Linked DNA regions of Lepisosteus oculatus. The protein of the gene in region 1 interacts with the protein of each later gene in a pairwise test. Links are inferred from orthologs where the notes say so. Each region holds a gene or a part of one and is shown on either strand. Other genes may lie near its edges. The genes, in order: tsc22d1, aplp1, setdb1a and ccdc90b.

What was found.
Region 2: the proteins of tsc22d1 (region 1) and aplp1 interact in a two-hybrid assay, tested with the Homo sapiens proteins (2 studies listed by BioGRID and IntAct). The link is inferred for Lepisosteus oculatus from reciprocal best matches to the Homo sapiens genes TSC22D1 and APLP1.
Region 3: the proteins of tsc22d1 (region 1) and setdb1a interact in a two-hybrid assay, tested with the Homo sapiens proteins (2 studies listed by BioGRID and IntAct). The link is inferred for Lepisosteus oculatus from reciprocal best matches to the Homo sapiens genes TSC22D1 and SETDB1.
Region 4: the proteins of tsc22d1 (region 1) and ccdc90b interact in a two-hybrid assay, tested with the Homo sapiens proteins (2 studies listed by BioGRID and IntAct). The link is inferred for Lepisosteus oculatus from reciprocal best matches to the Homo sapiens genes TSC22D1 and CCDC90B.

Annotation. Positions count from the first base shown.
Region 1 is NC_090710.1:16,242,443-16,249,856, forward strand, and holds the start of tsc22d1 (TSC22 domain family protein 1), read left to right. Parts: upstream 1-4,402; 5' UTR 4,403-5,023; coding exon 5,024-7,414. UniProt on the Homo sapiens protein: Transcriptional repressor. Acts on the C-type natriuretic peptide (CNP) promoter. Acts to promote CASP3-mediated apoptosis.
Region 2 is NC_090722.1:11,189,507-11,196,935, reverse strand, and holds the start of aplp1 (amyloid beta precursor like protein 1), read left to right. Parts: upstream 1-4,415; 5' UTR 4,416-4,760; coding exon 4,761-4,820; intron 4,821-7,429. UniProt on the Homo sapiens protein: May play a role in postsynaptic function. The C-terminal gamma-secretase processed fragment, ALID1, activates transcription activation through APBB1 (Fe65) binding. Couples to JIP signal transduction through C-terminal binding.
Region 3 is NC_090722.1:6,979,374-6,987,198, reverse strand, and holds the start of setdb1a (histone-lysine N-methyltransferase SETDB1-A), read right to left. Parts: upstream 3,005-7,825; 5' UTR 2,840-3,004; intron 2,807-2,839; exon of another isoform or gene 2,244-2,806; intron 1,543-2,243; exon of another isoform or gene 1,538-1,542; 5' UTR 1,506-1,537; coding exon 1,303-1,505; intron 1,101-1,302; coding exon 928-1,100; intron 418-927; coding exon 350-417; intron 1-349. Other genes in the region: aryl hydrocarbon receptor nuclear translocator-like, read left to right, coding at 6,960-6,981, 7,757-7,825. UniProt on the Homo sapiens protein: Histone methyltransferase that specifically trimethylates 'Lys-9' of histone H3. H3 'Lys-9' trimethylation represents a specific tag for epigenetic transcriptional repression by recruiting HP1 (CBX1, CBX3 and/or CBX5) proteins to methylated histones.
Region 4 is NC_090700.1:9,250,808-9,258,315, forward strand, and holds the start of ccdc90b (coiled-coil domain-containing protein 90B, mitochondrial), read right to left. Parts: upstream 3,001-7,508; 5' UTR 2,901-3,000; coding exon 2,802-2,900; intron 2,601-2,801; coding exon 2,477-2,600; intron 1,999-2,476; coding exon 1,879-1,998; intron 1,693-1,878; coding exon 1,589-1,692; intron 903-1,588; coding exon 801-902; intron 464-800; coding exon 422-463; intron 331-421; coding exon 259-330; intron 1-258. Other genes in the region: BTB/POZ domain-containing protein KCTD21, read left to right, coding at 3,522-3,523, 4,004-4,805; alg8 (dolichyl pyrophosphate Glc1Man9GlcNAc2 alpha-1,3-glucosyltransferase), read left to right, coding at 7,215-7,303.

The DNA.
Region 1 (7,414 bases):
AATTGCTTACACTTGCATAGTGCCTTTCTGGACACTCCACTCAAAGTGCTTTACAAGTATTGTGGACTCCTCTCCACCACCACCAGTGTATTGCACCCATCTACTGTAGATGATGCAACGGCAGCCAAAGTGCACCAATACACTCACCACACATCTACGGGGAGGAGAACATGAAGTAATGAAGACAATTTGTAGATGGGGATTATTAGGAGGCCATAATAAGACCACATAAGACCACAGGGTGAGCACCCCCTACTGGCCCCACTAACACCACTTGCAGCAGCAACCTTAGCTTTCCCAGGACGTCTTCCATCAGGTACTGACCAGGCTCATACCTGCTGAGCTTCAGTGGGTTGCCAGTTGAGAGTTGCAAGGTGATATAACTGCTGGCTAGTGTTTACTAGCTAAACTGCTATTAGCTATGTGTGCCTTTGCTTGACTGTATAATAGTGTGCAGTATACAAGCCTGTAAATCACTTTATCCAAATTCATCACACAAGGATAACTTTTGCAACAGACTTCAAAGTCAGAAGAATAAAAACATAAAAGATCTAATGTAAAAATGTTGTTGAAGAAGTTATGTTATGATAATGACCCCTAAATGTAAGAACAATTCTTGCTTACTGTATGTATGCAACTACAAAGATGAGTAGCAAGTATAACTTTACTTGATATTACTTTTACTATTATTAGTAATATTAATATTATTTATTAACAAGTATTTTTCTCAAGGTGGAAAACATCTCATTCATTTCAAAAACGCTTACTGTTATTGTGTAATTCTGCTGCCTCCTCTCATTGTGTGCTTTTTTCCTGTAAAGCATTTTGAGAAATCACTTCTAAAGGTGCTATAACAAAATCTATTATTATTACAGAGATTTTCCTGGCCAGGAGATGAGGCGTTTTCAGTTCTCAAATTCTTAAAAATAACCGGCCTCATAACCACCACTTTCTGCTCCTTGGAAGAACTCACCTCTCTTGGATCCCTTTGGAAAGCCTCCTCTTTCTCCCTAGCCAGGATGACAGCCAGCGGTTAAAGAAGCCTGTGCTCTGGGGTAACTCAGAGTAGCCTGGCCATGGGACATCAGCCACCAGCACTGGGTGACTTTGCCCTGCAGTGGGACAAACCACAGACAGCAAACACGCAGTTAAGATTGTCTACATGCCAATTAAGAGGAATGTATCTAAGATCGAATTTGGATCTTTCACAAAATTTCCAGCGATTTCAAGATTTTTCAAGAAGTAACGCAGCTCTGCTCCCCTAATCATATGTGAGACAGAGTGGTAGTGGTGCCCAGGAGTGTGGCAAGGCTGTGCGGCCAGTTTCATACAATATTAATGAGAGGCTCATTCACCCAGCAAGACTTGCAAGTCCAGGAGGTCTAACTGGCAGTCACTGTCTGTCCTTATCATATCAACCTTCTGTACTGTACTTCTGTGTCACACTCAAGTGCGGATTTGGCCACACTGTTTTCTCAAGAAGCACCAGGGAGGATGTGTTTGTTTTAGATATATCTGTTTTTTTTTTGGTCTTCAGTCTAAAAACAAAAATAAAACGGCAATCAACAGCAATAAAGGTAAGCATTAATACTCCTAACAAATACTGAGATGTAAGTAAACTTTGTGAGGGGGAAAAAATTGGAGTGACTCTGAAAGTACCACAATTAGATCATGCTATTTTTTGTGTTTTGAATGGCAACAGCTGAGTAGTACAGCGAAGCTATATCCTTTTTATCACCGTCTGAGAGCCTTGTTTACCTGTTTTGACAGCTCATTCGGTGATCATATGAAACCCACTCAGTGACCCCGGCTTCCATGTCACGTCACAATAGCAACAATAAAAGCGAAAGCTCTGGAAAGTGGGGTTCCCTAGGTGTCCACAGAACAGGTACTGCAGAAGCAGCAGGAAAAAGAGAATGCCCCACTGTATTAGTTAAGCAAACAGTGGCGCAGAATACAGACACAAGGCCGACACAATTATTCTTCTTCACTGTCGGGCCCATGGCACTGCGCACAACATTTCTCTAAAAACATATGGTCTCTACTTACTCTAGATTTTACCACAAAGCTGGAAATTTAAAATAATATGATAATATTGATAAAATTGAAAAAAAAAGCAATTTAGTAATGATGTCGGCACACACTGAGGTGAATTTCATTATTTGCTTGTTTTAAATGTGCTTTTAATAATACATTTCTCCTAGTGTCAGAGTGCAAAATAAGTTAACACCTTACTCCCATTAATATAGTGGAAACTGAGACTTGAATGTCCTAACTGAAATACAAGAACAGGTAAAGGTTCAGTCAATGCTGAAAAGTAAAGAAAAGAAACACAACATTTCAGCTGTGGAGCCTTCTTCAAGTGTGAGGGTAGCTGAGAAATAACTTGAACTTTAAACTAATTCTTAGAAAATAATACAGTCGTGTTGGATAGGACACAATGGTGCAGATCGAATTTGTTCTAAATATATATTCTGTTGTTTTAAGAGGACCAAAGTACCAGGCAGCATTGATCTTCGGAGGTATCCAGGTCATCTGTGGAGTTTTAGCTTCTACTCACATCACAAACTCTCCAACACTGCTTGAGAAAGAACTAAAGCATTCTGGTTGACAGGTCTGAGAAGCTAAGCAAGGCTGGAACAGATCAGTACTGGGATGGGAAACCTCCAGGGAAAATCGAGTCATTTCAGAGTTTAAGAAATGATCAATCCACCAGTGACCAGAGACACTCTGCTGCAGGGGGCCCCGTACTTGAGACCACACATTAACCTGAAGCCCCGATTGCTTGGTAATTAAAGATCTCATGGGCACTGTGGGCTATTGTGGGGGGGATAATTCTGGTGCCCTGGCAGATCTACCTAAAGACCCTCATTAATTCAGTTAGAGAAGCAATTTCTCACATCTCAACCTAACCTATGGTAATGGGGCTACTAGGTGGGTGCATTACTTCAGTGGTGGATGAAGTAGGTCCCCTCCTACAGTATGTACAAAATGCTTTGGGATCTTTCTGGAAGAAAACACTATAGAAATCCATCAGTCCTTGTACTGTTAATTTCAAATAGAAAAAAAATGGTATTTTCTAGTGGGACTGACATACATAATAGGTTATAGCTTTAATAGACTAGGAAATTTTAAAAAAATCTGTCCTGGTTAAGTTTTGTCAAGTAATTATTTTTTCTGGGGGGGAACAGTGCTGCAAGGCTTCAGGAAATTGTGCATTTAAAATTGAATCAACAACAGGGACCCTAGCAGGAGAAACACTTCTACTCTGACAATTGAAGGAAGGAAGAGAGAATATTGGTAACAATGTTGAAATCAAATTATTCTATCACACAAGATGAAGAGTCTCATGTATCTACTATTGATTCATCTGCTTTGCTAAGAATGAAAACATCATTTTACATATTTTAATGTGATATTTATAAATACTGCTCTTACACATTAGGAAATTGAATTAATCTTTGTAGAAAAAAAAAACTTTTTTCTCTCGTTTTATTAGCCAGGAATGGGCTGGGTGAATGACCCGAACTAAAAATCTCTAGAGATACATTATTCAGTTTTTAAGAATGATGTGTATTGTAACCCTGCTTGTATAACAATAGAAACAGACTTTGTATTTGACCTGTGCTCATTGTTTACCGTCTTCTGAGTGCTTGTGACAGTAGTATCCCTCGCCTTGCAAGACTGCTATTAACTGTAAACAATGAGTACTGACATTTGTTCTAAATGCCAGAAATCTGCGTCGTCATTTTCGAAAGTTCTCCTCATTCAGGAAAAAAAAATCCCCATCTTTTTCCTCAGTTTAGCCGGATACAGCATATTTTAAATAAAACATTCAATGAATGAAATGTATCTTTAATCCGAACCACGCATCTTTAAGACTTGCCCACAGGTGTACATTACAGTACAGAACCCAGTAAGACAGCACTGGTGTCTGCATACAGGGAGGGGGGGGGGGCTCAAATGTGAAATTAAGATGATGCGAGTGAGGACAACGCCCATGCAGTCGTAAAGAGATATGGTTAATTTCGCCGTTTGATTGTCCTACTGTGCCCTTTTGATTTCCAGTGAATAAACGTCCGACACAGTCCCATCACCTTGTCCCTCACCCCTTCTCGTCCTAACACACCCACCTTTTATTTCTCAACACACGGTATAAAGCCTTCAGAATCTGTGTCGAACAATGCTGTGTACATTCGGCACCTTTCGTTGGAGCCTCGTTTTTGTTCGACAGTTGCCGTCACTGGCTCTCGGTACTTTCCGGGTCAACTGCCCGAAGCTCTTTTTTTTGTTCGCTCTACCGCTCCCCCCCTCCCCTCCGCCTCTCCCAGACTGGCTTTATGTCTGGCTGCTGTGCGGCTGCACTGCGCACGCGTCTTCGCCATGTTAGCAAGCCCTCCTCCCCCTTAGTCTCGTCATAGTCGAGAGAGAAACAGTGCAAGAGGGCTGCTGGTGAAGAGAATCGGTGAGTGAGGGGTGATACAGCAATCATTGGATAAAAACAGAAAGATGAAAGCATGGATTAAACAACTGCCGTGACAGACAAAAAGGGAAACCTCTGTCCAGCACATTTTTGCACCGGCTGCGGACTGTTTCGTTTCATTTTTTTTAAAAAAAAGGGCAGTGATGGAGGTGATTTCATGGTGCACTATTGGTAGATATACATTATTTTCTCATTGCCATACGGATTGAAATTAAGAATATAAATACGCACATATCTGAAAGGGCTGAGAGATGTTGAACTGCGCCTAACAACGTTCACAGCCTACCGCGTCTGGATAATATAACGTTGAGGGCGCACCGCCGACTTTGTTTAGCAGTATATCTCGCAGGGGAAATATTTAAATAAGGAAAAAAAAGTTGAATGGCGGCGGCTTGAATTTACATTAGAAACGGTTTGGGCATTTCTTCGGTTTCATTATTTTGCGTAGTAAAACCTACCGCCTGTTCAGTACGTATACACACACGTACTTGCTACCTGTATTTACAACACTGAAAGGAACTACCCCTGGAATTTTACAAAATGCATCATCCGGAATCTGCAGGAGATTCTGCTAGCACTAGGAAGATGGCGCACCCGGCAATATTTCCAAGAAGGGGCAGTAGCACCGGCAGCGGCAATATCTCGGCTTTGGCAGCGGCAGCAGGTTCCAGCATTAGCAATAATGTCATTCCGCCTGATGATTACCAATCGCCCTTGTTAATACAGCCTCCACCCCCGGCTGGGTCTTCCTCCCCGGTGCCCCAGCATCCTCCCCAGAGCCTTAATCTCCTGTCCCAGTCCCAGCTGCAGGCTCAGCCTCTCCAGTCGGCCGGGGCGCAGATGAAAAAGAAAAGTGGCTTCCAGATCACCAGTGTCACGCCGGCCCAGATCTCCGTCAGCACCAACAATAGCATTGCAGAGGACACCGAGAGCTACGATGACCTGGATGAGTCGCACACGGAGGACTTGTCGTCCTCGGAGATCCTGGACGTGTCCCTCTCGCGGGCCACGGACCTGGGGGGTCCCGAGAGGAGCTCGTCGGAGGAGACGCTGAACAACTTCCACGAGGCTGAGACCCCTGGGGCCGTCTCGCCCAACCAGCCTCACCTCCCCAGCGCCCCGCCGCACCACCAGCTCCTTTCCCAGCAGCAGCAGCAGCACGGGGCCATGGTGAACGGGACGCACCACCACCATCACCCCGGCACCCATCACCACGGCCACCAGCATCACCACCCTCACGCCGCCGCCGCTGCCGCCACCCCCCCAGGAGCCCTGCCCTCTGCCCTGTCCACCCCAGGGGCAGGGGGCCCTCTTCCTGCCTCGGCGGCGGTCGGCCCCTCTGTCACGGCCGCCGCCGCCGCCACGCCTCTGCTCGGCTCGGCCCAGAAGCTGCCCGCCGGCGCTGGAGCGGCTCTTGAGAACGCCTCCGCCGTCCTGCCCCAGCCCTTGCCCGCGGGCGGCCCCGGCGGCATGCTCCCCGCTCCGGCCGCCGCCGCCGTCGGCATGGGTCCTCTGGGCAGCATCGCCAGCGGTGCCGGCGTGGGAGTCGGGAGCTCCGCCGGCGCGCCGGGCCTGGGGGGCTCCGGAGTCGCGGGCACGTGTGGCAGCGGCAGTGGCCTTCCGCCGGGGCTGATGAGCTTGAATGCCAGCGGGCAAAACGTCGGTGTGATGCAGCCACCAGGCGGCGCCAGTGTCGCGATGGGGGCCGCGCCGGCTTCAAGCGCGATGGCCGCCGCCGCCGCCGCAGGGGGCGGCCCGAGCGGCCTGGCAGCCCTGGTTCAGGCCCCGGCCCCCCAGGGCCAACCCCAGCAGACGCAGGTGGCGCCGCCCGCCGCCGCCAGCTCCCGCTTCCGCGTGGTGAAGCTGGACTCCAGCTCCGAGCCCTTCAGGAAGGGCCGGTGGACTTGCACGGAGTATTACGACAAGGAGGCCGCGGCTCCGGCGGCCCCTCCCTCCGACGGCCCCCCGGGCCACAGGCTGGTGGAGAGCCTGCGGCAGACGGCACCCGAGAGCGCGGCGGGGTCCGAGCGGGAGAGCACCAGTGGCAGCTCGGTCAGCAGCACGGTCAGCACGCTGAGCCACTACACCGAGAGCGTGGGCAGCGGGGAGGTGGGAGCCCCCTGCGTGCTGCAGGCCTTTCAGCAGCAGCCTCCCCAGCCCGCCGACTACAGCGGCCCTCCAGGGATGCAGTGTTCCCTGCCGGGCCTGCCCCAGAGCGGATCTCAGCCGCAGCTGGCTCAGGCTCACGTGCACGCCCAAGACGTGGTGCACTCGCTCCTGAAGACGAGCGGGGCCCCCTCCATCCCCGTCAGCATCGGCGCCATTCAGCAGCAGGCCCCGATCGGCCCCATGCAGGCCTCCGTGGGACATCCTGGGGCCGCCCTCCCCCAGCAGCAGTTGCCATATTCTCAGAAGACTGGCCAGCCTGCCCCTGCGGGCGTAGCTCCGCAGCAGATGGGATTCCCTGCGCCGCAGCCCTCTGCAGCTCCTACCCAGATGCCCCCGGCGCATGCCATGCCCGTGAGTCAAGGAGCCGGCCTGCCACCAGATTTCGTGCCCCACCAGCCCCTCCTTCAGACTCCTGTGCCGCCTGGGCCGCAGCAGCAGCAGCAGCAACAGCAGCAGCCTACGATGCCTCCTCTTCCTCACGTTTCGGGCGCGATGCCCCCTCCGGCGGTGACCGGGAACAGTCAGATGATGGCGGCGGGGCAGCAGCAGCCGGGGGGAGGCGGCAGTGGCGGCACCGTCCCCGCTGCGGTCGGCCAGCCCCCCTTGCAGGGAATCCTGCAGCAGTCGACGCCGTCGCCGCCCCAGATGGCCCAGACCGCCCAGGGCGGCATTCTGCCGCAGGTGTTGCCCGCCGGCGTGTCGGGGCTGGCGCAGCAGCTGGCGAAGGCCCATCCGCAGCCGCCGGGACTGCTGCAGCCCCAG
Region 2 (7,429 bases), on another chromosome or scaffold:
CTGACGAGCCCGGAGCGGACTCTGTTAATCATTGCAAACGATCTACACCGGGAAACTACTCCAGCTCGCTGTTTCTCCACTCCAGAGACCCTCCGATTTGGCATTCACAAAAAAAAATCACCACTGATTCATCTTGGTAATGATGATAATCATTCATCATCCTCTTACGCAACTTTTTCTCTAGAAAAGAAATATCCTCCCACACGACTGAACAGCGTGTGAGGGAGACGCTGCGTATACTGGCCACATTTAGACCTCCTCCGTCAGTTTCTGCCGGTTACCGCTGTGGGAAACGCGAATATTGTCAAGCCAAGTTAACGCTTGACATCACGGGGAGTTTAAAGAAATACCTTTACAGCGCTCGAGTCACGCACAGCCTCGGTTGTTTTGAGTTTCGCTGGTCAAGTCAGGAAGGTCATTTTAAACACTTATTTAATACGGCGACATTCAGGTCACAGTTTAATGGAGGTCTAAATTTCGATTTCTGAATGGCTGATCTCTGAGGACCAGGTGATATTTGCTCTACCTGCCCTCCACTCGTGATAATAAGCTCACTCCCCTGAAGCACCAGCGCTGAGTGACGGGGAACCTGGTCCCTTTCAGGGGGTCCCCCCTGCTCGGACCTCATCTTTACCCGCGTCTTTGTTCACAAACCGAACGACACGCCTCTTTTATAAAAACAGAAAAGTTAGAAGTTAGAAACAAACTCAAACGAGTAAACCAATAACAAACTTACTTCCGATTGAAACCGCACGGCTGAACTCATTCTGGCCGATCGGGGAGGGTGGCTCTCGGTCGAGTCGCTTCTGCAGTCTTTCCGCAATTCAGCGCTGCACCCCGAAACTCGTCTCCCCAAAACCTCCTGCTCGGGGACCGGGGGAAGTCAGGCGCAGCTGGAAGGATAAGTAGTGAGTCGCAAACGTGTGCGCAGACAGACGCTCACGCCCCCCGAGGAGCGCGGACGGGGGGACGCTCTTCGTGTCAGGTGGGGTGGTGCAGGTGTGGAGCTCAGCGCTGCCGGTGCGGGACGGGTGCGGTCGCGAGGAGCTCTGGGTGACGAGTCCGGGCTCCGGTGTGCGCAAGCCGTACCTGCCGCGCAGGCGTGTGAGGTCATCGCGCTGGCACTCGCCCTCACGCGCGCCCCACCCGGGCCTCTCCTGTGACGTATTAACCCCCTCCCCCCCCGCCACGCTCACAGCCTCCTAGAAAAAGGCCGACAGCGCGGTCAGCTCCTTGGGGCAGCTAACTCTGACCAGGCTGGGTGGCCCGATTGGCTCCTCTTGTTTGTAACCTTTCTTATGTTCTTATGTTAATAATAATTATAATAATAATTGCTTAGGCTTATATAGCGTCTTTCTGGACACTCCACTCAAAGCGCTTTACAGGTAATGGGGATCCCCTCCAACACCACCAGTGTGCAGCCCCACCTGGATGATGCTCCAGTCCTCTCCCACACACCAGCTCTCAGTGGGGAGGAGAGCAGAGTGATGGAGCCAGTTCAGAGAGGGGGGTTATTAGGAGGCCATGATGGGTAAGGCACCAGGGGGAAATTTGGACAGGACGCCGGGGTAACACCCCTACTCTTCTCGAGAAACGCCCTGAGGTTTTTAATGTCCACGGAGAGTCAGGACCTCGGTTTTAGGTCTCATCCGAAGGACGGCGCCTGTCTACAGTGTAACTATACTGGGGCATTAGGACCCACACAGACCGCAGGGTGAGCGCCCCCTGCTGGCCCCACTAACACCTCTCCCAGTTCTTATATCTTTATTAGTGCTGTGTGTCGCACAGTGTGGGGATTGTCGACGCTGGGATCCGCTGTACTGTTTGAAATGGTGTCACTCTTCGCGAGGGGTCGATGTCTGTGTGCTGTGTGGTGTAGAGCACAATGCAGCTCTCTCTCTGACTAAGGCGGAAGCTGGTGATGTGAACCACCGAACAAAGGGACTTGTGGGCTCCTTCACGCCGACACGCGTCCCACCCCGTAGACGCCGAATCGGGCTGCGCTGCCGTCACGATGTATGAAATCAGGGTCACGGGCGTGTCGTCGTGTAGTAGCATCGCCCCCCAAATTCCCAGGCATCTCGCGCGGCCGTCCTCGCGCCTGCTGGGGTTTAATCCAGGTCGCCGGCACGTTTTAAGGGACAGTTTACCTTCTCAGGTGATCATGAATTATCTCACGTCTGTCTGCGTGCAACACTCACTGTTACCGAGAGGACGTCGGCTGCAGTTGAGGTCTGCAGTTCACAAACTAACGATGAGTCACACGCTGCAGAAATACATGACAAAAATAAAAACAATTATAATCTATATAAATAATAACAGACTGTCGAAAGTGACTAAACCTAATTTAGGACGACCACCTGCCGACGGAGCTGTGGCTGAGGACTGTGTAATCAGTCCGGTGAAACCGCCCTACCAGCGCTGAGCAGATAAACGGCTCCAGCGCAGGAAATAAATTAAAGAAGAAAAAAGGGATGAAGGATTTTCTAACAGATCGGTCACAGCGGGTTCTTATAAGAAATACATTTTCAACCGAACTCGTTTTAAATACTGGTGTTCTGTCGCTTGCAGGGAACCTGGTTACTGGGGCCGCTGGAGAATCGCTCGGGGCAGATCAGTGAACTGGAAGGGTGTCGACTCGAACGTGAACCCCCACAGCTGGCTGCTAGCCGTTCAGCCCCTCTCCCTTATTGGTCAGTGCCTGTGGGAGGTTGTTCAGGGTTTCAAACACCTTGGACAGTTACACATGAACTTTTGAACTTTGCAGACAGCACCAGTTGGAAGTAAGTCAAAACACATCCAAAAACTGCCACACAAGTCAGATAAAAGTCAAGACTGCTTGCACACAGACGCTATCTAAATGCTGCTACCATCTTCTTTGACTTCTCGTCTTCTTTGTCTCCAAATAACTGTGATGCCATTTTCTCTGTCATCTGTCGTGTCATTTTGTCCTGTGAGGAACACGCAAGCGAGCTTTTCATTGGACTCAGGTACACAGGACAACAAACCTGGTCTTGAACCCTTGCATTTTTAAGAAGGCTAGTCAGCGCATATATTGATCAGGAAGCTGAAGGGGTCTGGGGTGAGGCACAATGGGTGTACAGAGGGTTTATAGAGTGTGAGCCTGAGCATTAGGAGTAAAGGCAATGAGACGGAATTGTTAATACTGCTAGGAAAGTGATTGGTTGACCACAGAAGCAGCTTAAAGTGCTGTTTTGTACTGCAGTTCAAAGAAGAGCTCAGCTCGTCCTGGACGCCCTCTCCCTCCCTCCTCACTCCCACCCCCTGTATTTACTGTATTGTTGAGTGGTATTTGTGTTCTGTAGTTGTTTATGGTGATGTCAAAGACAAATTTCCACCCTTTTGAATGCACAATAAAGTTATATAAATACAACACAATGAAACTCTGTCTAGATTTTTAGTTAAGCACAGAAAGGCCTGCGGGGGGCAGTGTAGCTCAGTGGGTAAGTCTCTGGACTCATGCCTGGGTTGGGGGTTCGAGCGCCAGCTGCAGACACTGCTCTTGTACCTTGAGTGAGGTACTGTACCCCATTGCTCCACTCCACCCCGCTGTGTAAATGGGGAGCCAGCATTGCTGGACACAGACACTGGACACAGGCAGACCTGGCTGTCCAGAGAGAAGACAGGCTCAGTGACCACAGCCTGTCCTCTCTGTCCATACAGAAAGCTGCAGGCTCATCATCAGCGTGTCCTTCCTTGCCTGAGGTGCTAGACACAGCGCTGTTTTAGACTCAACTGTTTCAGCCCACAGATCGTGTGTTTGCTTTATTGTCTAACTGTCATACAACTCTACGCACCCACCCTATACCTGAAACTTCGTGCTGATCTCGATAGGGAACCGAACCTCAGCCTGACCATGGCCCGGTGTTTCTGGGGCACCCGGGTCAGTCCTGGGCCGCTGGTGTTATATTCAGGATGAGTTCATCATACAACGCGCCTAGAGAATAACTTCTACTTCGTAAATAACGTGTCTGTGAGTGCCGCGTGCCTACGTTTTATTTTCTGAGAGCAGAGTATTATGGGTCGGGTAAGAAAACAACGGAATTCTCAATTTTGTAGCTGCCAGCGCTGTTGTCATTCCGCTGAAAGCAACATATCTGTGTATAGGAAGCTCCCCGGTATATTTCATTCGTTGTCAGAACGGCTGCGGTCAGAAAATGTCGAAAATTCGTGTAACACAAGCTGCCCACGCGGACCGTCCACGGTGAGAAAATCACGCCGGAGTGGGGGGGGGGGGCATGGGGGTCCTCGCGGAGGTGAGTCGAATCACAGCGGACCTGGATACCGGCCCCGTGCGCGGAGAGAGCCAATCCGCTGCCGGGCCGCCTCCCCGCTCCGGAGGGCGTCGCCCAGCTCGTGAAGCCGCAGTCTCTCGCCGGCGCGGCCAATCCGAGAGGCGCAGCGCGGTACAGCAGCGGACCGGCTGCTATTGTGCTGGAGAGAGAGAGAGCGAGAGAGAGAGAGCGAGAGATAGAGGAGGAGGAGGAGGGGGTGGCGGATTCAGTTGTGAGCAGAACACCAGCGCGTCGAGAAGCCCCGGAGCCTGTGATTGGAGCTCGGGCGAGCGAGGTGAAGACGCACGACACAGCGGAGCCGTCGGAGGTAGGCGCAGAGATCCCCGCGCCCGTCCAGAGAGCATCACCCGAGCCGCCAGGACACCGGCTGAGGACGCGGTTCGCTCCACTGCATCACCGAGGAAAACAGCGGATTGTCAGTAGCGAAGCAGACGGGAGCCGAACATGGGACCTGGCGTCTGCGTTTTTGTGTCTCTGTTCGCCTACGTCTGGGGGTACGGCGAGGTGAGTCCCTGCGGGCGTGCCAGGTGCGATCGGTGTGGTTGGAGTGATCGGTGTGGTTGGAGTGATCGATCAGTGTGTTTGGAGTTCGCACTCCTGCGCGTCAGCGATGCGCCCGAGCGGGCCGCGCGCTGTAGGGGCAGTCCGGGGAGGGGGCGCGAGAGCCCTGCAGGTGGGGGTCCCTGGCGAGCGCGAGGGGCCGGGGGTGCACCTTCGCCCTTCGCCCTTCCTTAGCTGACAGCGGAGCAGAAGAGTCGTAGGCGCAGAGCTCCGGGGGGGTGCAGAGGGACAGGCGCGGGCTGTGTAGGATGATGATGATGATGATGATGACGGTGGTGGTGATGATGGTGATGAATCGGTGTATATACTGTATGAGCACGCGTCTGCCATGTTCGTCCGTGACGGGGAGAGAGAGCGCGGAGACGGGGCTGGGGAGGGGGTAGCTACCATCTGGGATGTCGAGGTGATAAATGGGAGAGAGAAATTTCCTTGAACGTCTTTATTGCATCAGACCGAGGCTCGTGTGTTTTTTGTGAGGGAGGGGGGAGTCTGGAGATTTTACTGACACTAAAACCCCTGGAGAGGTTTCCCTGTCTAACTAATGAGCCGCTGGTGTTCATAGTCTAAACGTGGTCATCATTTCAAACACACAGGTATGGATGTAACGCATTACTAACACATGCGTGTGTGAGAGTGATTAATAGATCGGGCTGGGAAGATGGCAGACTCCTCTCCTGATGGCCGGGGCTGCAGGCAGCAGCAGTGTGCAGCTGTGTGTGTTGTCAGGGCTTTTGCACTGGGGAGTAAAGAGATGTTTATAATGAGAGTCGCACCAGTAAAGAGCTCTGCTGATCCAGCCCTGCTAATGCACAGAATTACATTAATCCCTATCGTCACCATCAGCAGCAGCACTGTGGTGGTGGATGTTTTTCTCATTATTAAGAGATATTTCGTTTAGCTCTCTGACATCTGTAGAAACAAATGCACAAATGAGGGAAAAGGCGCCTATAACAGCCCTGTGTTCTGGAAGCTGAAATACATGTGAAGTGGTGTTTGCATACAGAAAGCTTGAGCAGGTTCCCAGTTTCAGCAGCAGGACTAATGTCATCGTCATCCTCCTCACTGGCGCTCGATGGCTGAAGTCCTGTTTATTCAGAGGGCTCGGAGGCTTTGAGGATGAAGGCGGAAGGGAAGCAGCCGATGTTATTGGACTGGAAGTGTCAGCCAGCTGCAGAATCCACCCGGATGCACAGGATACACACAAACTTCCAGGCGTCTTCGCTCCCTGTAGCCCGATGAGGCCGGATATGAGCTTGTCGAGCTGTTTGCATGAAGGGGCAGACTGTTGGTTTTCAGCAGAGTTCTGTTAATGTACTAGATTCCACCTCAGTGGGATTTCTTCTTTTAAAAGATTATTTTTGCACATAAATGGTGTCAAAAACAGGGTTCAGTTCTAGCAGTAAATCAAACATAAACCCTGTGTGTATCACAGCACTCTGGACAGCGCAGGAAAACACAGCACTGTGCAGTAAATCACAGTGAGATCAGGGTAAAAGCACAGTACAGTGCAGCTCCACAGTGGCAGACGTCGGCCTGCACTGGGTCCACCGGTCGATATGGCCGCGGCCGCGTATCTGATAGAGCCTGTCCACCGGCAGCAGGGCGCCGTGGCGCGGACAGCACAGATGTAATCGCGCGCGGATGTTTATTTGCAATGTGACGGGCAGGCTGACACTTTGATTGAATTGCGGAGCAGGGCTCGAGCAGTCGGGACTCCCAGCTGTCTTTGATTCAAGGAGTCTGGGATTTTTGGGGAGTAACGTCAGTCACGATGTTGCCCCCGGGGGGCCGAACTGTGAGAAAGAGTTAGGCGCCGTTAACTACAGAGCAATTCAGTGTTCAGTGGGCTTTCATAAATAGGTTTATTTGATCCTTTTAGAATATTTCGGGGACGAGGTGGAAGTGTCTCTTTTCTTTTCAGAGCTTTATGCTTTGCTGTAAGAACCAAAATCTTACAAGCCGATATTTCTTACAACTGTGTTTTAAACAGCATCTTTTAATCTCTAAAAGAAATGTGTTTTTACTGAGAGTTTTATTGTTTTAGAAGTAAAGCCATTCCCATTTTGAAGGTAGTAAGATATCTTTACTGGTCTATAAAATATTACCTGATGTTTGAAAAAAAGCTGCATCACCTACTGTAGCTCAGAAAAAAACACGACTTGATTTGAAGGACTGGGTGAGTAATTCAAGGATTTTTTTTAACCACAGAAACCCAAGCCAGGACATGTTTTTAAAGATGAGAAATGTCACGATGAGGTTGGCAGTTGGGTTAAAAACACACAATCTTGGCATGAAGTCATGTGTTACAATTTCTCTAAGATGAGATCTTATTTCTGAGAATCTCATTAAGATAACAAGGCTAGTAGGCAGAGACTCTTGCTGGAATAATGCAGAAAGTAAAACAAAATTTAATTTAATTTGTTTCGAACTTAAATATTTAATATTTAGGAAAAATAAGAAGGGAAGAGGACAGGGTTCAATTCCTGGGGGTCTGTCTGTGTGGAGTCTGTATGTTCTCTCCATGTTTGTGTGGGTTTCCTCCAGGTGCCGTG
Region 3 (7,825 bases), on another chromosome or scaffold:
CACACAGCATCAAAGCACACAGCCCAATACTGTACAAAACACACACACAGCCTGAAACTATACAGGACACACACACAGCCTCAGAGCACATAGCCTCAGAGCACACAGCCTCAGAGCACACAGCCTCAGAGCACACAGCCTCAGAGCACACAGCCTCAGAGCACACAGCCTCAGAGCACACAGCCTCAGAGCACACAGCCTCAGAGCACACAGCACGATATTGCACAGCGCACACACACAGCCCAAAACTATACAGCACACAGAAAGCCTCGCTCTGTTTAGACAGCACAGAGAAGAGAACAGGAGACTATGGACACAGCAGGAGGAGAAAGAGTGACCAGACACTCACTGTGGAATCCTTGACGGGGGTGGTCACTTTCTTGGCTGGAGAGGTGACATTCGGGTGGGCCGGAGTGACTGTGATGGAGGGACAGGAAAGGAGATCAATATGGAATTTATACAGCTCAAGCAGGTACCTGTGTCAGTGTGCGTCGGCTGCAAAGGAACAAGTAAAGGTTTATTCCTGCTGAAAAGAGAATCAAGGAAAAACAACGTTTTGGCTGTGGAGCCTTCTTCACACCCGAAACACAAACGTTTCTTTTCTTTTCTTTTCAGCATGGAATAAACCTTTACTTGTTTCTTTGAATTTATATAGTGCCCTGCACACAGAAACAACAGGCGTGGGATGATTCTTCACGCTAAATATTCCTGAGCCTTGAAGAGGCAGACACCGGACAGGCGCCTGACCTCTGGTTTAATACAGCTGGACACCAGACTGGTGCCTGACCTCTGGTTTAATACAGCTGGACACCAGCAGGCGCCTGTCCAGGCAACTCAGATTGTGCAGCTCATGGGAGGCTGTGCTCTGGGATCCTCTGGTGTGAAAGGTGCTATATAAGAGGGAAGGAATTCGTATTCAACACGTACTGCATCCCACAGCCACAACATCATCGTCGTCGTCATCATCATCGATCTCGATGACCTCAGAGGGCCTGAGGGCCAGACGATCCCCCTGATCATCGTCCGAGCTGCTGTCGCGGTACGTCAGACCCATGCTGGAGTAGAGGTCTCGAACCAGGCCCTCACATTCCTGCATCGACCTGGGGGGACACCACAGGACTGGTCACTCACTGACCACATTGACCACTGGACACACCTCAAGGCCAGTCATTGGCCACACTGTCCTCAGAACAAGCAGAGAGACCTGTCACTCACTGTCCTCAGAACAGGACACCCCCTGACCGCGCTGCCCCGGGGACAGGACACCCCCTGACAGCGCTGTCCCGGGGACAGGTCACTCACTGGAAGGCGGTGTCGAAGAGCCGGTCCACGCGCGACACCTCCGCCTCCCTCTGCTGCACCTGGCGCTCCAGCTGCTCCAGCTCGGCCGTCTTCCTGGCCACAGCCTCGCTCCTGAGGATCTCCTCCCGGACCCACTGCCGCAGCTCGTCCAGGGACACACCCAGCTCCTCCTGCAGCTCCTGCTCCATCTCCACCTCGTCCATCTGCAGCAGCGGACACACAGCACCGAGACACACTGCACTGAGAGAGAGGGGTTCATACAGACACACTGACAGACTGGACACTCCAGTACATTAACACTGCACTGAGAGAGAGGGGTTCATACAGACACACTGACTGGACACTCCAGTACATTAACGCTGCACTGAGAGAGAGGGGTTAATACAGACACACTGACTGGACACTCCAGTACATTAACACTGCACTGAGAGAGAGGGGTTCATACAGACACACTGACTGGACACTCCAGTACATTAACACTGCACTGAGAGAGAGGTACACTGCTGTGAGTGTAACATTGTAAGAAAACTACAGTCCCCTTTACCCCAAAGGAATCCAAAAGACACTGGTGTTGACACCCCACTCTGACAGTGTCCTGGGATCTGTAGTGACCAGTAGTCAGGACACCAGGGTCAACACCCCACTCTTACTGACAGTGTCCTGGGGTCTGTAGTGACCAGCAGGACTTCTGTTTAACATTAATACCGAAGGAGTACACCTCCTACTGCTGAGTATCTGACCTAGAGATGAGTACACATGTTACGTGATGTGGCGACCTTGTGGCTGCAGGACAGAGGTCCTACAGTGTTCTTGGGCTTCGGACACCGGACTATAGCAGAAACCTACACAGCGAACGTTTTCAGGTGTTCAATGATGTTACGCGTAGAGCAGAACTAATTTTACACAAAAGGTTGTTGAAGTTCGTTGAGATCACTACTAACCTCACGCACGTTTTCAATTTTCCACACTTTTAGAATTAGCAGCAGCTTCGGCTGCGAGACGAGACGAAACGAGGGGTACTGATTTAGATCCAAAACCTTTGCGGAAGGAAGACTTCAAAATATAAATGTATTTTAAAAACAACTCGTCATCTGCATTGAGCACCTCCATTGAAGGCGATGAAGGCGGTGTTACTGCGGCAAATGAACGTCATGGGAAATGTAGTTTTTTATCTCCCGCAATTCTTTAAATACGAAGGAGAGTTACGACGAAGAAAACATCAACTCCCAGCATACCATGCGCTGCGCTCGCAGGGCGCGCGGGTCTGACGTAAGGTGAGGGCGAATTTAAAACACCTCATCGCGTTCTTTTAATTTCTCACAAAAAAAACTATATAGTTACATATTTGTGATTATATGCAGTAAATATGAGAGTAAGGGGTTATCTTTACGAAATAAACGTTGTTACCGAAAGCCATAATTTGGACAAATTTAGCTGTAAGCATTCGCTCTTTATCGCAGATGTCCCCTCTCTACAAAACGACGTCTGCCCACCTGAGAAATTAACGACAAACGACTCCGGTTTTAACCAGAATTACCTCTCCTTCCAAGGCGTTTCGCCGGTAGAGGGTCACTGTAGATATTACTCTTTCGCTATTTCATAAAGAAATTTTTGAGCCAGATTCCAGTCTCCGAGCTTGTCTCCCTTTCTCCCCCTTCCCAGAGAGAGTCCATGAGGGAACACGCCCACTGCAGTCGTCGCCACGCCCCCAGACCTAATGAGCGCCAATCAGCAATGCTGATCGACGTGAGTGATAGGGGAGGCAACCAATAGGCTCCACAGTAGCGTGAGGTAAGAGGAAAGGCCCCTCCGACGATGGCAGGTTTGTCCAATAAAGAGCGCTAAACCGTGATAGGCGTCGGTTTGAACCAATCAGTGCAGCCAGAGGTTCTGGCGGGAGCTGACCTGTCAAGGGTTTGTATGCCTAGAGTTTACAACACGTGGTCGAAGCTCTTCTGTAATTGCTGAACGCATTATTCTTGAGCAGGGCAATGTGTAAGCAGCGTGGCTGTCAATGCCTGGCACAGATACCTATAAATGTACAAGAATCCACTCTGTCTCAGTGGGTCAGTGCACTCCTCCTGGTCAGAGCTGGGAATTCTGAGACAGGACACAAAACACAGTCGTTCTTCCAGATCCTTTTATTTCAGCAACTCCTGGTCTGGATAAAACTGCACACTGCTCCCCATGGTCCAGCCCTGCCCCGTCGCCCAGTCTACCGCCAGTCTCCCAGTCTACCCCCTGTCTCCCAGTCTACCGCCTGTCTCCAGCTCTGCCCCCTGTCTCCCACTGTGCCCCCAGTCTCCCAGTCTACCCCCAGTCTCCCACTCTGCGCCCAGTCTCCCAGTCTACCCCCAGTCTACCAGTTTGTCCACTGTCTCCCACTCCGCCCCCTGTCTCCCAGTCTACCGCCTGTCTCCCACTCTGCCCCCAGTCTCCCAGTTTGTCCACTGTCTCCCACTCTGCCCCCTGTCTCCCAGTTTGTCCACTGTCTCCCACTCTGCCCCCTGTCTCCCAGTCTACCGCCTGTCTCCCACTCTGCCCCCAGTCTCCCAGTCTACCCCCTGTCTCCCAGTCTACCCCCAGTCTCCCAGTCTACCCCCAGTCTCCCACTCTGCCCCCAGTCTCCCAGTCTACCGCCTGTCTCCCAGTTTGTCCACTGTCTCCCACTCTGCCCCCAGTCTCCCAGTCTCCCACTCTGCCCCCAGTCTCCCAGCCGCTGGGGGTGCTGCTCTCAGCCTCAGTTGCTGATCTGCTCCTCCTGCCAGGTGGAGGTGGGGATGGCACTGTAGGGGTCGACCACCATCTGGGCGCAGCGCACCACCGTCACCAGCAGGAAGAAGCACAGCAGGAAGAGGAAGGCCAGAGCGAAGCCCTTGTCAACGTCCACCGGGAGCTGGGGAGGGGCATCCGTGTCCATCTGGACCAGCTGTCCTCCTGGTGTTACAGCCCTGTTTCTTAACCACTGGACCAGCTGTCTTCCCGGTGTACCAGCCCTGTGTCTTCACCTCTGGACCAGCTGTCCTCCTGGTGTAACAGCCCTGTGTCTTATCCACTGGACCGGCTGTCCTCCTGGTGTAACAGCCCTGTGTCTTATCCACTGGACCGGCTGTCCTCCCGGTGTAACAAGACCTTAACACCTGGACCTGTCAGGTCTCCTCACTTGAGCAAAGTCTCGTCGAACTGGATGAACTCCATGTTATTACTGTAAACATATTAAACAATCAGAAAAGCCCAGGAATCAAACAGCAGAGTGACCCGCGGGTCTCTCGGTCCGCCCCAGGCAGTGTGCGTGACAGGCAGTGCGAGAGTCGCTCTCTGACGCCAGTCCGGTCCTCCAGCGGGGTGGTGGCTCAGCAGTGGCCCAGTGGGATCCAGTTCGGTTTGGGTCCCAGCTACAGGCTCAGGACCGGGGTTCTGCAGAGCCCTGTCGAGACTGAGAGACGCAGGGGGGTGAGTCCCATTGTGCAGGAACGGGAGGGGGCTCATTATGGAACGCAGGTACGGGTGACCCCCTGACCCCTGACCCCTGACCCTGGCGCTAACACCTGTACAGGGCAGCTAGCTAGTGAAAGCAGCATAAACGTGCCCTGAACCCAACACTGTCACACGCTGGGGAAAAACGAAACAATCCTTAATCGGAAATTCAAGGAATTTTAACAGCGTATGCAGTGACTTCTTGCCTCTCCGAGGCCAGATCCCAGAACTCCAGTAGGGAACATGGCGGATCAGCCGGTGTGTGTGTGGGAAACGGCGGCCTCACACTTACCCATGCCCTGGTTAGTGTGTGTGGTCACACAGCGGCGGTATCGCCTCGCCGCTCGCTCCTGCCTTCGGGATTCGGGAGGGTCTGCAGGGATGCACTGCTGCCGGAGCGATCCAGCTCGTTCTGGACCTCTGCGCTCGGCTGCGGGAGTTTTCCTCGTGTGCGCCACTGTCCCCCCCGGCTCATGAATACTTCAGCACGCTCCTGGTGTTGTCTTTCGGCCCGGCCCGCTGCCGAGGGGAACCCGATCCCGGCGCGGTGCCGCCGCGGCCCGCTCCACAGAGGGCACCTGCTCCGAGCCGTGTAACCCGGCACACGGCAACCCGTCACGCTTCATGGGAGTACTGGGAGACAGGGGCCATCCCCGTGGAGACAGCGTGAAGCCAGCCAGCTCCTCTTTCACAGACTCTGGACCAGCAGCAGACACTGCTAGTGTACTCTTTACTGCGTTTACCCTCATCTCACTGGGCTGGACTGCACTGGACTGTGCTTTTACCCTGATCTCACTGAGCTTTACTGTACTGTACTGCACTTTTACCCTGATCTCACTGTGCTTTTACCCTGATCTCACTGGGCTGTACTGCACTGTACTGTGCTTTTACCCTGATCCCACTGGGCTATCCTGCACTGCACTATGCTTTTACCCTGATCTCACTGGGCTTTACTGCACTGTACTGCGCTTTTACCCTGATCTCACTGGGCTGTACTGCACTGGACTGGGCTTTTACCCTGATCTCACTGGGCTTCACTGCACTGTGCTTTTACCCTGATCTCATTGTGCTGTACTGCACTGTACTGTACTATGCTTTTACCCTGATCTCACTGGGCTGCCCTGTACTGTGCTTTTACCCCGATCTCACTGGGCTTCACTGCACTGTACTGTGCTTTTACCCCGATCTCACTGGGCTTTACAAAGGACAAGATTTCTGTGACAAGTTATTCAGTGCAGGGATGAGTCAGCAAACAGCTGCCCCACGGCCCCTTTGCAAAGCTAACGAACAGGAATGATAAGCAAATGTTTTCATAATACTGTAGGATTTAATGAGCTGCGTTACTGAAGCGGATACCCTGGTTTCAAATTCAACTTCTGAAAGAGCTTTATTGGCATGAGAAGAATGACGTGTTACCAAAGCAGACACAATCAACACAATATTTGCATACACCACATAAAACATTATTGTGAGAGAGGGTTGGGGTTTTCTTTAACGCTTCTAGGATCAATTGACGGAAAAGTAGCTCCTCTCCTTCACCTTTTGTTCCTGTTCTCGTGTTTGTGTTTATGTTAAACACTGAGATTGCAGGTCTGTACTCGACATAATTAATCAGAAACTCGCCTCTCCACAAAATCACTCTCTCCCTGCAGGGACCGCGGAGGATGACAAATACCAGATGTCGAAATATCTTTCACAACAAGCGCATTTCCTGTGGAAAAATACAAAAGATCTCGATTAAAAACACTCAAACCGCCCCAGACTGTCCCTTTAAACAATTCTGTGTGGCGTCACCGATTTCGGCCCGCCCCCTCAGATCATTCTAGCCTGGTGTGAAAGGCGGGATCTCTCTGTTGCCTTTGCTAGATTCCGAATCTCTATTGGCCAAAAGAAAGGTACGTCCAATCTTTGTCATCACTGATTGGACAGAGGCACCGCCCATCATTTTAACACGTTTTTAATCCGTTTTGTAATCAAAGAGTTCGGTTGACGCGCGGGCCTCCGCTCCAGACTGCCATCTTGTTTCAAGGGAGGGTTTTCGCTGTGTGTTTTTTTTAAAAAACAAAAACATAAGAGGAAAAAAAGTATCTTTCGAAAAATAAGAAAAAAACCGACAACCCGTGTCTCACGCTGTCCCACACCGTGCGGAGGCGCCGAGGGCTGGATGTTTTCTAACGTTCATGGCCTCGACTTCGGCATCAGGTACGAAGCCCGTCGATTGCGTGCGGCCCCTGGGCGAGTGTGTGTCCCGGGGGTGTCAGAACAGGCCTGCCAGCCCTGAGCCCTCACGGGGCAGAGCCGGGGGCTCTGGGGGTCACCGGGCGGGGTTTTTTTTTGGGGAGGGGGGTCTTTCCGCTGGAGCCCGGCTGTCCGCCACAGCCTGGACAGCCCGGTCACTCCCGAGCCCACAGGGACGTCTGGCGAACCGGAGGGAGGAAACCTCTCTCTCCTGTCGCTGTCCGACTGACTGGCTGTCGCGGGAGGGTTTCGCCGAGGCGATGTCTGAAGCCGGCTGGGTGCTGGCACTGGGTGGGTGCGTGGGGAGGGGGCTCTCTGTGACTCGCGTCGCGCTGGTCCGTTCACTGGCCAGGACAGCAGCTGAAGCTAAAAGGAAAAGCGCTTCAAAGTGTCAGAGAAGTAGCCTTGATGATGATTCCCGACTGACAGCACTGTAAAACCTGGAGTGGATCAGACTGCTGCGCACTGGGAGTCTAACTGACAGCACTGTAAAACCTGGAGTGGATCAGACTGCTGTGCACTGGGAGTCTGACTGACAGCACTATAAACCCTGGAGTGGATCAGACTGCTGTGCACTGGGAGTCTGACTGACAGCACTGTAAAACCTGGAGTGGATCAGACTGCTGTGCACTGGGAGCGTGGCCCGTTTCCTCAGGCACCGATGTCTGGGCGCTCTGCGGTCTCGCTGTGGCCGGAGACTGACACTGTGTGACCCTCCTTCTCTCTCCCTCTCTCCCAGACATGGCGTCGGAGGTGTCCGGGCTGAGTGCGGGTGGGGCCCCTGGTAACCCGGGCCTGGGCGGGGCTG
Region 4 (7,508 bases), on another chromosome or scaffold:
CTTTTTAAATACAACACAGAGGAATAGGATAATTCAGCAGATATGTGGTTGTATTTTCATACTTTTGTACTCCTTTACATTATGCTTCTAGTACTACTCCAGACGATACAAGCCTATTTGTGTAAAGAAACAAGCATGTGCCATGCCTCTACTCCAACTAACAATGTTATCGATAACGATAACAATATTGATAGCATCTCGGGATTTTTTATCACACAGAAACATTAGAAATTTGAATGCACGGGTCATAGATATTACCATGTCAGTTACTCTGCTTCTTTCCAAATTAATATCCAGTTTGGCATCTGCTCTGATTTTCCGGCTTTCTTCCTTTAAAAAAAAGTGCAATAGTTAATCGGTGTTTGCAACTTAAGCACCTTCATACAAACTTTATGTTTAAGTTACCATTGTTACCACTTACCATAAGTAGCTGTTTAACCTGCTCCAATTCAGTTTTCATTTTCTGTAAAACAAGTTTTGGTTCACACTGTTAACTGAATAGTGGCATTTTTTCATATTTTAACATCAGAACAATGAACACAGTAAGATTAAGCCTTATTCAATCTGAGATGGTGGTACTTGGCTGAATGAATTGAATTAGACTGAAATGTTTCATAAGTCCACTTCCCATGATCAGTATTATTGTAATGTTAGAAAAAGAAACAAAAAACATGACCTAAGAATAAAGACCAAGTGTTACTTAAACATCTGCATTAAACCTCAAGAGTATTCAAACATCATGTGAAAATGACTGTTCTAATTATAGACTTGCTGCGCACAGCCTTACTGTCATACTGTACCTCATTCTCAGCCCTAAGGTTTCTAAATTCACTTTTTTCCAAAATAACCATGTCTTTCCTGATTGAATCCAGGTGAGCCATTATTTGCTGTAGAGCAATCTCCTAAAAAAAAAAGGAAAGCATTTGTTTCATTGCTCTCCTACTGCTTAGACATTTTAGATCTACATAGGCAATTATAGTTTATGGACATCTATAGTTTCATATATAGGAGGTAGGTTTTCTTTTTTAAATTTTTCACTTCATTGCACAGTACAAAGATTCTCTTTTACGGTATGAAAGAGAAGTATTCTTCTCAAAACAGAACATTATGTGAAGTTGTAAATGTCCATGTGAAGGTACCACTCATTTTAACTGATGATAAAATAATCCATTTTAAAATCAGGAAAATTTTAGGATGTGGTATAAATGCAGGGATCTCAATTCTTCGAGGATTAAGACTGTTCTATTTTTTGTCTCAAGGAAATACACGATACAGTTGATTACTCAAAACACTTGTCTAAACATGAATCAAATGTACAGTTATCTATAGCACTCTTCAGAGCCTGTTTAGAAGTACTAAAATTATGTAGTTAAGTCATTAAACCAATCATGTAACCGAGAGTGTGGCTGGAAGAAATAACAAGAGACACAGAATTCCAGAAACTGAGTTTGAGACCCCTGATTCTGAAATTTAATCTGGACCTGCCACCAAATTTTTAATAAAAAAATCAGTAACCAACATGTACTGTATGTAAGAGCAGCACGTAAAGAGGGAAGACAATACAGAAGTCAGATATTCAGTTATTTACCTGATGTGCCCCAGTCACCATGTCTCTGTACACTATGTCCATATTGGCAGTTGTTAGTGTTACAAGCGCCGTGACAATAATCTCTGCTTGTTCTTTTCCAAAGCCTGTATGAAAGGCAAAACATGGAATAATATACATTTAAAGAATCAAGTAGTTCCCAACAAAAAATCCCATAACACTTTCAAGTACAATCCTAACAGAGAAGAATCGAATCTGAGTCTACAAACACATCAAGATAGGGAAAAATACTCACGTAAATTTCATTTATTATTGTACTTAAAGCAACTTACCGCTGGCTTGTAGATCTCTCACCAGGGCATGTGTGTCAAACGTCAATTTCCTCTGCTCAAGAGGTGTTAGCTCCACTCTTCTCATGTCATACGTTTTTTGAGCTGCTCCTGCATGAAACCCTGAGACAAAGGTAAACGACGAAGAAAATGAGGATTTCATTTGTCTTTATTGAAAGTCCGGCAAGTCCAGAAAATGCTCGTATGCATGCGTGTGCTGAACTGAAAAGCTAACAAACGACCAATCTCAATTTGTATGTTGACATTATGATGTAAGGATACGGAACAGTAGCTGTATTAAACCAAGACTTGTGAAATCTCCTCCAGCCATAACCATGTTTTCTTTGGCAGTAAAAATGAACTCGATTGAATGATTTTACTTTCTGAAGACGATCTTGTATTCAAGAGTTTTCAGGGTCATAAAAAGTTGGTCAGCTGTTGGTTGCGAAGGCAGCAGCAGTTTTATCTGCGACTGGGCAATCATTTCTGGTGCAGGATGACAAATATACTTAAAAACAAGGATTCATTACCTACGATGAATCGGAATGGACAAGTGCTGCACCCGGAGCTCTGAAACTGCACCGTGTTTAATATAACCTACCTTTCGCCGTAGTGGGTAAACGTTGCAGACACAGGGCTCGACTTGGCTTCCTCAGCACAGATAGAAAAGTTTTGCAATGTCTGCAATTCATGATGCTTGATATATGCCGTGGATCCTCTTCTCGCTTAAAAAAACAAAAACTTTAATCATAAATTAATTAAAAGTAGTATATGTATATATTCATTTCCTAAGTAAGAAGGCAATTTCTGCTTCGGTTTTTATGCCGTGAAAATTGCAGGTCATAGCCTGCAGGTTTCTGAGTACTTGTATTATCCGGGCATTTTTGGAATATTTTTCGCGTCACTGTACGACAACAATTACGTACCGCCCAGCGAGCTGGGGACGCTGTGGAAAGATCTGTTCCAGTGATCAAGTGTGCAAAAACATTTCGTGGGCTTCGTATTACAGGAGATGCGGATTTCATTGTAGGAAATGCGTACAGTATATCTGCATTATAGTAAAAAAAAACATTCCAGAAAAGATGGCACCTGAACGCTGTGACTCTCCTCCCGCACAGAATAAACCTTTACTTGTTCCTATTAAGAATTAAAAATCGGTTTAAAAATTGTTTGTAAGTTGTTTTACACCTTTCTATTGGCGCGGTTCTGGTACGCTTTCTGGCAACTAGCGTCTGGTAACACCGGAAACCTGACAAGGTCATAAACTACCAAACTTCACAAAAATAACGCCTCCTTTAATTAGGTCAAAGTTTCTGTTTACCCGCTCCAATATGACAAAATAAAACCGTTTCTATGGGTTTCGGAGCTTTCTAGTAATGACAGCATAGAAGACCCTAATTTAAAAAATAAAAACAACCATACCCAATGGGATGTTAAAATTATTTTAAAACAGTGCCCTTGAGGCGCCACAGTGATAGGCACCTATCCCCTTTATGACTTCTGGCCATCTGATAAGGTTATTTAATACAGTCCATTAAGAATGTAGTTCTTTCGCCAGAGAAGCAAGTTTAACTTTAAGCAAAACGTTGAGACGGGACTTCAACTCCCAGTAAACACAGCGATTTGTCTACTCTACACACCCAACAATGTTTGTATTACTTCTCTAGGATTTCTGTGGGATTGCGCGACTGCTATAACGATCGGATTCTTGCAAATAGATTATGCGAAGGAGAATTCGTGTTTAAGATTTGGAAGCTCTTAATTTCGAAAATAAACATAGTTTTTCACGTCTTCGCCTCTCTGACGCGCCTTTTCATATTTTTAATAGCATTATTTTTGTTTCTACATCACAAAAGTAGGTATAATTACAAAATATTATATTGGTATAATTATAGGTATAATTACAAAATATTGACGCCGATAAAACATGTTGTGATGTTAGCGAGCATAAGGTTTTGGATTATTCTGAGCACTTTGGAAAAAATTGTAGGGCTCAGATTTGTAAATTGTTTTCTTGTTTTTGTTAACCCAATGTCCTTGCTGTGTCAGAAATAACCCTTCTTCTGCTTTTATACACTTTTTACGCTTCTGTGGTTCTCTAATTTCTTTACTTGTTCCAATGTGCCAGGTTCCGTTGCTTGCTGATCATGTCTGACCTTGTGACTCTCAATGTGGGAGGAAGGCTGTACACTACCTCTCTGGCCACCTTAACTCGGTTTCCCGACTCCGTGCTGGGTGCGATGTTCAAGGGCAGGCTGCCAGTCAGAAAGGACCAGCAGGGCCATTTCTTCATTGACCGGGATGGCAAAACCTTCCGTCACATCCTCAACTTTCTCAGGTCCTCGCACCTCGACCTCCCAGATGACTACAAAGAGATGAAGCTCCTGAGACGCGAGGCGGGGTTCTACCAGATTCAGCCTCTGATGGAAGTGTTGCATGAGAGGGAGGCTGAGGACCTGGCATCAGAGAAGAACACCATGCTGAACATCAGCCTGGATCAGAAAATGCAGGCAGTTCACCTCTCTGGACCAGATGCGCCCCAGGCCTACAGCCTCGGTTCTTTGACTATAGACGTCTTCTCAGCCAACATCTTTTGCACCTCGGGTGCGTTCCTGAGCAGCCTGGGTATTCAGATCTGCTACTTCTTCAACGGCAACCTTTCCCCTGTGTGTGGCGAAGGCGAAGGTCAGAATCGGCTGGCGCTGCAGTGGGTGGGTGCTGTAGAGGGCCTCCCGGAGGAAGAGTACACCCTGCAGAATTTGAAAAGGCTCTGGGTTTTTAACAAGCAAGTTAACAGTCTCCGGGCCTTTGTGGAAGAGGTTCTGAAAATAACCATGAATCAAGGCTTCTGCATGGACTCCTCTCACCCCAGCTCCCACGATTTCACGAACACCAAGACTGTCCGGTTGATTCGCTACAGGTGCTCATGAGGACACGCAGTAAGAATAGTAGCTCACAGTAGCTCACTGATCGGAGGATCACACCCAGCCATTTTATACAAATGGGGTGAATCTAAATTTTATGCTTTTTTGAGAATATGAATTTCAATATTATTGTGCATGCAGTCTGATGTATTGCCTGTTCTTAGAAAAACCTTTTCTTTTCTATCAAAATTAACTTTATTCCACCCGAAAAAAACATCTCACAATAAATACACACTCTCACAAATGATCAAACTTACATATAACAAACGTAGAAAACCCTGTTCACTGAGAATTTGTGAGATCATTAACACCACTGCCTCACAACTCCAAGGGGTTTGATCTCGGTGTGATTGTAGGCCTGTCAAGCTTATTAACTATGAACTGGCTTCATCAGTCTGCTCTCCTCCCCACTGATAGCTGATGTGTGGTGAGTGTTCTGGTGCACTATGGCTGCCGTCGCATCATCCAGGTGGGGCTGCACAGTGATGGTGGTGGAGGGGAGTCCCCATCACCTGTGAAGTGCTTTGAATGTAAGCAATTATTAATTATTATTTTTATGGTGGGGAATGGATTATAAGAAAATGAAGATTTGCAAAGAATGAGAACATGTATTTAATTGTAAATGTTATAAGTATATAATACTGCATTTAATTAATACTACTAAAATATATGTTGTACAAATGCCGTTCAGAATTGTTTGTATTAAGTGTAAGAACTGTTTAAGTGTTAATTGTATTATAGTTATTGTAACAAATTGGCTGTTTCAGAAACTGTTGACCCTGCAGGCTGTTAAAACACAGATAGCAGAACCACATCTGGGGGCAGCTTCAGAACAGAACATATGGCGTGATAATGCACAACAGCAAGTGCATGATATAGTTACAGAACCAAGCCATGAGGTCTTTGAATATGTCTACTATATGATGCACTATGGTCCTTGTGCCTCTTTTTAGTGTGCCTTTATTTATGGTGAAATTTCTTCACAAAACAGTATTAAAATTTAAGAAAAGGACTGTAACGTTTCTCAAATTGAAGATAATACATTTTTACTCCTCATTTAAAGGTGCCTAAAAACTGCTTGTATTGTAAGAGAAAATAGGATGGTTTTGTGAATGCATCATTTCAGACCTGAAACCTTTGTTGTGCCTGGATACACGACAAGAATTCCAGACATACTGTGTAATACTAAGACAATTGTTTTACACACAGCAAAAACAATGCCCTATTCAGTTTCTGCATTTGTATAGGGTTGCTTGTTTCCAGTTGTCCCCTCTGGTTCATGGTTCCCTGGTCACACAGCAAAAGACAGCATATTACATGACAGACAAATTGTGGATAGTTGCTAGTTTAAAACTACCTAATTTTGTAGTCCTACAGTATGTAATTGAAACACATAACTACCAACTTTTGATCTGCAGTTAGTAACGAGCAGTTTGTGCTTGTGCTTAGAAGCATGTGTATGTTTGATGTTGCTCAGAAGGGCCCATAAAATTCTGACACTTTTCAATCAAGCATTCACAAATTTATCATCTAATTAACTCGATCCGGTTAATTGCAGAGCAGTGGTGTAAAAAGCCGCTCATTAGGAGGTAGCGACTAATATGTAGATTCCTAGCTCCACCTACTCCCTTGCTATATGTTCACGTCTCTGCGTGGTGAAGTCAGAGGAGGTAGGTTAATTTGCATTTTACATCCCATGATGCTCTGCAAGACTTACAAGATTTAATTAACATTGTTTCGTTTTAGCATGTTTTTTTGATTCCTAACAATGAAGACAGGTGTTTTATAATAGTGTTGTGTGTGTTTTAATACTCGTGGTATTAAATAAAGTTTAAAGTTTGTGAACCATTATAACACCGTAAGGCGTGCGCATTGTGTTTGCTATGGGGTGGTTAGACTGGGGGAACGGTAGGTTAGCTTTGCGCAGTGGCAGTATCGTAGCCTATGAGGTTTATCCGAGGCGCGATTATTGCTAGTTGAAAACTTTACCCAATACCCCGCTTGTACTGGCTTGAAATATAGCTAGTGCCGGCAATTTTTGACAGTCTCTTCGGAGACTGAAAATATTGGTATAAAAGCAGATTTATGCACTAGTATTTAGCGTAACAAATGGTAACGAGTTAGTCGTGATGTATTTAGTTTATGTTGTTATAGATCCAAAGATTTTTGTGCTTTGAGAGTGGTACTATATAATAAATAATGCATGTACGATCACGTATTGGTGGGGGCTGGACTATTTCCATAAGGCGAAATCGTTTTAGCAGTTATTTAATTAAATATCCAGAATAACAAACCACTCTGGACTTGCGAAAGCACGGGGGGTTCAGAGATGGGGGTGCGCAGTTCTTCGACGGCGCCATCACTCCGTCCGGGTTTTCTTTGCCGTTGCACACAAAGTTTGTTTCAGGAACTGTCATGGCGGCGCCCGTGGCTGAGGGCTGGAGCTGGTTTCTGACTTTAGCAGCGGGGATTTCTCTTTTGAAGGGTCTGCTTATTAATACTTAGTAAGTTCCACCGGTTTACGCGAGCTGCGTTTTCCATCTTACCCGGGAATGTCGAGTTTTCGAAACGACAATTACTGGTCATGCCGTTTCGATAGATTATGTTTTTGATAGCTCAAGACGCAGCTCATTCGTGGTCTTCATTCATTCTTGACCATGTCAAAATCCAGCACACGATGCAAGCAGACATAAGCGCTCGTGTATTTGG